2 linked regions of the Drosophila melanogaster genome follow. Changing the gene in region 1 together with any one later gene gives a genetic interaction. Each region holds a gene or a part of one and is shown on either strand. Other genes may lie near its edges.

Region 1 (3,964 bases):
TTAGTATCCCATCATCGAACTATGGCGATTTTTCTGTTATTTTCGGATTTCCCCTGCCAGCCACCCTTTTCAAATCAAGTTCTGCTTTTCCCGATCCGAGGGTCTGGACTCGTAGTCGTGAACTCAGTACTCTTGGTTCTGCGGGTGGGTGTTGTGATATATGGGCGCGCTATTGGCGAGGCGCTGAATTTATAACGACAGGTGTGCGACTACGCCGAACCGCCAATGCCAATCATCAAATGCCATGAAATCATAGTTTCTTGATATATTTATTTGGCCGATTTGTGGTTGAGAGTCTGCAATACTATTTCAACAAGTTCGGCTATCAGTTCACAATGACAATGGTTTTTGATTTTGATTGAAAACGTTCTATATTCAATATATGTCGTATATACTTGGTATATATAATATTCTATTTAACCAGATACTTGAACGCACATAAAAAGCAATTGCAAAAAAATAATATTAACTGAATGAGATGAATGTAATTATTTTATATGTGAATATTTTGAGTATGGCCACTTTTAGTTAAGAATTCAATATTTCACTATTTCATAATGAAAAACACTTTGATGCACTTTGGTAGTAAAATCTCAGTTCGTTTATCCTTCATACCCAGAGTAGTCACATTTTTGAATCCCCCGAATAAGGCCATGTGAATCTTTTTCTTAATTCTACATCTTTCACTGTTCTATGGAAATAATCTTCCATATAACACTTACCCGGCATTTAGCGCCTGTCTGTAGATCTCGAGCATCAGAGCCTCGTGTAACATTTTTAAATTTTGCTGAATTTTGACGGTTTGCTGGAACTTGGATGGTTTGCTCTTTTTGGAGCAAACAACGAGGATTTTAGTTGGATTTTGGAACTTAACTTTAGTTTGACACAATGATCATATAATCTATTGTTTTGCACTTGGTACGTTGTAGTATAACTTGTTGTTGTTGCAGCGTATAACTGATTAATTTATATTTTTTGGATTTTGTAATTTATAAACTTTCGTATGTCAGACAAAAAATGACGTTTCGAGGCGTTTGTATTTTTAATTCCTAATTTGTGTTGATTTAAATTTAATTTATTAATTGCATTGAATCGTATACTTCGTTAAGGTTTGTTGATTTAAGTAACTGGCTTTACATTATGTATGTAGTGTAATTTTGGTGAATTAAATACCGTTTAATGTAAATATTTGCAATAGTTTATCTTTAGTTTTGGTAATAAATATATTTTTGTGGTATATTTTGTTTAGCTTGTGGTAGTTTTACGTATACTTTGTTGAACCATTTGTAGTTGTATGTTTCTCGTATGTTTCAGTCTTGATCGAGCATTTGCGTTCGAGAGTATCAAACCTCTGCTTCTTTGACTAGATATGATGGCGGCCTGGAAAACACTCGTTCTATCCTCCCCCAAAAACGCGTTTTAAACTGAGAATTCACTGTTCTGGCGGAACCGCGGGTCGCGATGCGTGCGTCTTCTCATCCGGATTCGTCGTCACTACTCGAACGAAAGTCCAAAGGCGATTGAATCCCGCTGGCCGGGTTCCTTCGTCACTAGCCTCTGCTGCGGTGCTCTGCCGGTGCGCTGCTGCTGCGCTGCCGTCGCTGTCAAGCTGACAAACAACAACAACGGGGCGCTGCTGCTCTGCCTTCACTGATTGATACGGATGAAAAAATGAAGCGACGCGACGGACGCGCAGCGATTGGAAGCTGCGCTGCTGTTGACGAGCAAACACGAAGCCCGCGTTTTGGCGACGGCAATTTCTGATTCGATTTTGCGTTCTGGCGACGGCTGCGCACTTGTGTGTGTGTTGTGTGTGCCGTGTGTGCCACCCACACCCTTGCAGGACAAGCTGGCTGTCAGCGTGATTAAATGTGCTACTCTCTCGCTCGCACTCGCCGGCACTCGGCTAACTAATTACCGTACGATTTTTCCAAGTGCGCCGAGCTTTTTCGCACGATCGTACGCAGTAACGGTTTCTTGTCGACTGACTGACTCTTGGCGAAAAGAACCCGAAACCGATGGGTAGCCAAAAGAGAGCGCGAGAGAGAAGAGAGAGAGAGAGCGACAAGAGCGCAGACTTTCCCCTGTGCTGGCAAGTGAACGCTTGGAACTGAAACAGGGGAAATCGCTAGGGAAAGAGATAGCGTTGTGGGACCGCTCCGTCTCGCTTGCTCCGAAAGTGTGTGAAATCTGTTTTGTCGTTTCGTCACCCTTCTTTTGTCCTATTCCGAATCCGATTCCATCACAATTAAGATTTATGACAGTTTAACAAAAATGCTCTCACTCGCATGCGCCGTCCTGCTCGCAGCCACTCAAACTGTGTCGGTCCCTGCTCTGTTTTTATTTCTTTTCAAAATAAACAGTAGTTGTTGCTCTCTGAGCTTTTCGCCCTCGTCACTTTTAGCCTCTTCCCTCTCGCTCACCTTCCTTCATACCCTCTGCTGTCAACTTTTGTTCGCCTTTCTGCAGCTTCTTCGTGGATCTCGCTTCTTTTGTTTCGTTGCATTGCTGTGCGAGCGAGTAGGAGAGTGAAAAAGTGGAAAAGTGGTTTGGGGCAATTTTCACTTGAAATCAACCCATTCCACTTTTCTTTTTGGCTGCGAAAACAATTGAATTAGCGACACTCCGGCCGTTCTTTCCTCTGAAAATGTGCCAAAATGCCGCGATTTTATTAGTTTTCATGGCAAGGTGTCAATGTTTGTGAATGCGTGAATGTAAGGCTGTGTAAGAACATTGATGTACATATGAAAGTATAAAGCCGAATGAAGTACAAATTTGGTTTAATAAGTGCCTTTATACAGTCTAAAAGATGACAGCATTGAATACTATTTAAATACTAGTATCATTAATACTCAAGATCACGTCTAATAAGTGCATCTACAATATTTTTCTTTGTGCCGACCCTGGTTACCTTAAGTTTATATATTGCATGTACTTTTTCACATAAATTGACAAACGTATAAAATAGTAACTTTCGATACATTATAATACATTACATTATAAAACATTATATACATTATTCTATAAAATTATCAACCGGTAACCGAGCATTGCCTTGATTCCTATGCATATTTACGGAGACGACTACTGAATCAAAATTTAGTTGCGAGGAGTCCACGAAAGGTGCCCCTACTTAGCCCAAGGCATTTTAAGCCAAGGTTAAACTTCGCTAAAACCCACCTAAACTGGCCAGTCTCCAAATGGCGTAATATCCCCTGGACTGATGTGTTAAAAATAGTGCTATTTGGTGGAACTGGTTCATATGGTTATATCTGACGACCTCCAAACACCGAGTACCACCCAAAACACCCACTGAAGACTTTCAATCACGGTGGACCTGCAATACTGGTATGGGCTTGTTTATTTTTTACAATGGTATGAGTCCATAACATATGATTTATGGTATTATAGACCAAAACGCATGTGTAAATATACTAAGGGATGTCTTACTGTCATATTCTTATTATAATATGCCCTTAAAATGGAAATTCCAACAGAATAATGATCCGAATGGCAGAAGCAAATCGGTTAAGAAAAGGTTCACCCAAAATAGAATAGATGCAATGCCGTGGCAAGCACCATCTTCCGATTTAATCCCGATTGAAAACCTGTGGGGGGACATTATACAATATGTGACGAATAATTCCCCGACGTCTAAGGCTCAGATTTGGCAAGTTGTGCAGGATGCATTGGCAAAAATTCCCCCCAAACGTTGCCAGGACCTGGTGGACTCCAAGCCGCGTAGGTGGTGGCTAACAGAGGCTATCCAACACATTAATAAGAAAAACTGTTAGTTTTAAGTCAAATTGAATTTTGTTAATATTTTTTTATTGCACTGCTCTTTCAGTGAACACCAGAATATCTGCCTATTATGTTGTTTTGATCTATATTTTAGAAAACTATTAAAGAAATAAGTGTGAAATTTTTGTTGAATTGTTGGAAATTAAATACCTAATGATATTAT
Region 2 (3,600 bases), on another chromosome or scaffold:
TGAAGGGCTTATATATGTACAAAATATTAGATCTTTTTTAATATTACTATGCGGCATAACAATCTTGTGGGCTTATTTTAAGTGTTTTTCTCAATCTGCTCCCTAGACATTTTAAAAGGTTTGGATATACGAATGTAAAATGACTTTGCTATGGAATTGATATATAAATAAAAAAAATAATTATATAAATATAAATATAAATATATATTTAATATAAGGATCGATTGATAATCTTCAGATTATTGAAATAGTACTAAGTATATCCTCCTATCAAATCTCAACGGATTCCAAGAGACAACAGAAATTCTATTAGTATGGACTCACCTAATTCCTGCAGTCCCAGCGCCGTGTTCGTCGGTGGTTCCGTGGAGCTGCACTGAAGGGGCAGATCCATCATCTGGGAGTGCGGCGAGTGTCCTTGGGAGTGGGTGCTGCCCACACTTCCGTTCGCCGTCCCATAACCCCCACCGTACCCGCCGTAATATCCATTTGCCGATCCACCCACTGCGCCACCTCCGAGCACTGCGCCACTTCCTCCGCCACCACCGCCATTGCTCGTATTTGGAACGTTTGCCGCCGGTCCGTATCCGTTCGTGGGATCGGAGTGCACCGCTCCTGCGGATATGAATTCGGGGGCGTGGTGGACGTAATAGCCGAGGCTCTGGTGCGGATGGGCGTGTGGATGCGAGTGCGGATGTGAGGGCGGAGTGGCATTGGCATAATTGGAACTGTAACCGCCGGCGGATGCCTGGTGGTGTCCAGATATTGCACTGTTGCTATGGTGGTGCGGTAGTGAGTGGGTGTGCGAATGGGAGTGGCTGTGCGGATTGTGGTGATGCGCCATATAGTCACTGACCATGTCCGCCGGGTGCATGGAATGCGGATGACCAGTCATCCCACCTGCTCCACCACCTCCGACAGACCCAACACCTGCACCACCGCCGACGGCACCACTCATATGACCCGTAGATGCGGTCATCGAATAGTGTCCATTGTAGTGATGATAGTCATCGGCCAACGGCGGAAACTTTGGGTCCAAGCCATTGCCCATGGACATGGGACTCTGGACATGATGTGGTGCATGCGGATAACCCATGAGAAAAGAGCTCATGACGGAAGGTCTGTTGGATCGGGGTTCACCGGATGCGTTTTCCTGGTTATTACTTTGTTATTCGATTTTTTCTTGGGCACTATCACTTGGATTGCACATACTCCGAACCTTTTGCTTTTAGTACATTAACTATTGATTAAAGGCGCTGCTTTTGCAAGTAGTAATTACTTTTAAGATTGTGTTGGTTAAAATAAATTTCGTATTCTTTTTAATATTTTTAACTAAACAAAGGGGTTAGAAGGCTCCCGTTGTCTTCATAATTTTCACTTTTATTGTTTTGATTATACTTTGTTTGCACTTTTTTGTCACTTTTAAAAGCCGTGGGGCCTTGGAATTCTGAGAAACTTGATTATGGTGTTATTTTCCGGTTATAAAAAACGTTTTTACAACGAATTTCAATCCCACACAGGGAGAAAAGTCGGACGTTTCGGTCTTACGAGTGCGCTGCGAACACGAACCGTCCCATTCGAGCCGATTTTTTGTTATGCTCGCTGGCGATAACTCTCCGTGCGAGCGAACCTGTTTCGCCACTCTTCGCTCTTGTTTGCTTGTGCTCTCGCTCGCTCTCTCTCACCGCCATTGCCATCAAAACGGGTTTTCACTGCCGAAGCAATCGAAGGACGGCCCACACACGCGCACAAATAAAGCCATTCATATGTAGCAGCCATGTCTGTTCACCTTTTCTCACCCTTCGCCTCGTACGCCATTTTCCACCACTGACCATAGTTCTCTCGCAAGCGCGACTGAGAGGGAGCATTGTGGTTAAAGCGGGATGGCCAGATCTTTGGTCACACCCATTTTGAGTTGCGTGAACAGTCAAGGCATACAATATTGAACTAGTTCAAAGAAGTATTCTTAAAAAAAAAAAATAAAAAGCCATTAATTAAAACTTTAAAATATAATTTTACTTTTACTGTACAGTGTATATATTTTTTTTATATTTTAGTAACGTCTTATTTATTTTTTTACGAAATAAGCTTATTTTACTTTCCAAGGATTAATAAATTGAAATGACAGTAAATCGAATAGAAAATTAAAAACGCAATTGTCTACATAGAGAAATAGGATTTCTGAATTGATTCAATGTTATATTTATATCTCAAACAGCACTGTTTAGCTCATTAGCACACCTACTTACCTACCCTCGACTGTTCTTCCCTCAGACTTACTATTTTGGTTGTACTTTTGCTGTGAGTGTGCTGGTACCTTCAAAGTCATGGCGCACGCTCGAAAATTGAACTCGACGAAAAAGTTGTCTGGACCCAAGAAACTCCGCCCATTTTCAGAAGGCTTTCATCGATCCCGGACAAGACGTAAGTGTGGATATGGAGCACACCATTTATTTTCCACTTTCATAAATGGATTCTGTAGGAACGATGCAGAGAACGCGTGGGTAACAACAGTATTGATCGTAAAGAGGGGACGGTACTATTGGATGCCGATTTCTTCGTCTGAATTCAGCTACCGAGTTGGAGAGTCCGAGCTGACTTGCAACAATTTCAATTGAACAACCAACGAATATCACTTTGTTCTCCTCTGTGATTATTGTTGTGGTCTGGCTGGGGCTAAGGCTGTTATTATTGTTGTCATTACTACCGTGATTTTTCCTCCGATGTTGTTGTTATGGCGATGACGGGCACATATTCAAATGGAGCAAGCGAAACGTGGAAAATCAATAGAATGATTGTTGTATAATGCACATCGAGAAGGTTGGATATTTAATGCTTTAATATTGTTTTTAGTAAATATTTAGACTGATTCATAACAATCCATAATGTGGGTAAAAGAAAATATGGCTTGTACTTTTAAATTCGTACTTCGAGCAATGCGGAATATTAACAATTTATTTATAGGTAATATCATACAAACTTTTGATTATTTCGCTTAATGAATTCAACAGATTTTAAATTTTTGTGATATATATTTTAATAAGTTTGAAATCTGCTGACCCTATAGAGCCAGCTGCCCTAACTCACTTCAAATAAAAGTTAAATTGAGCATAAATTCGTGTCACACTTCTGGAGTGTGTTTCTGAAAGTGACTCTGGCTAATTGCCGAATAATTGGACCTCCGGTAAACCCACCAAAAATATCTTAACCCCCTTACAATCAGGTCCACGTGCTGTGCCACCTCCTTCACCAGTTCCATATGTGAGCGGTATAGGGGCATGGCCACTAATTAATCGACTTCCAACTGATTCGATTTTGATGGTCACCATCAAAACGTCATTAGGCTAGTTAAGTTTATAAAACTTAAATTTAGTCTGTGGTCCGTCGGCCAGACTCATAGGAGTAAATGTTGGTTTAGGTCTTCATTCCACGTTAAAGTGTTCGAATTAATTGACCAGCTAGTGTTAATTAATGGAAGTTCCATGTTTACTAATTTTACTGTGTGATTCATTACGCATATTTGTTTACAAATAACTTTGGTCCAAATCCAAAAATATAATTGCTTTTAAATTACATTATTATATTTCTCGAAAATTTAAA

The links. A genetic interaction does not mean that the proteins touch.
Region 2: of tsh (region 1) and Dfd, changing one enhances a phenotype caused by changing the other (phenotypic enhancement), as found in Drosophila melanogaster (one study listed by BioGRID).

The regions. Positions count from the first base shown.
Region 1 is NT_033779.5:21,826,617-21,830,580, reverse strand, and holds the start of tsh (teashirt), read right to left. Parts: upstream 1,989-3,964; 5' UTR 776-1,988; coding exon 723-775; intron 1-722. UniProt on the Drosophila melanogaster protein: Homeotic protein that acts downstream of Arm in the Wg cascade during embryogenesis to determine segment identity throughout the entire trunk.
Region 2 is NT_033777.3:6,789,836-6,793,435, reverse strand, and holds the start of Dfd (deformed), read right to left. Parts: upstream 1,601-3,600; 5' UTR 1,112-1,600; coding exon 325-1,111; intron 1-324. UniProt on the Drosophila melanogaster protein: Sequence-specific transcription factor which is part of a developmental regulatory system that provides cells with specific positional identities on the anterior-posterior axis. Homeotic protein controlling Drosophila head development.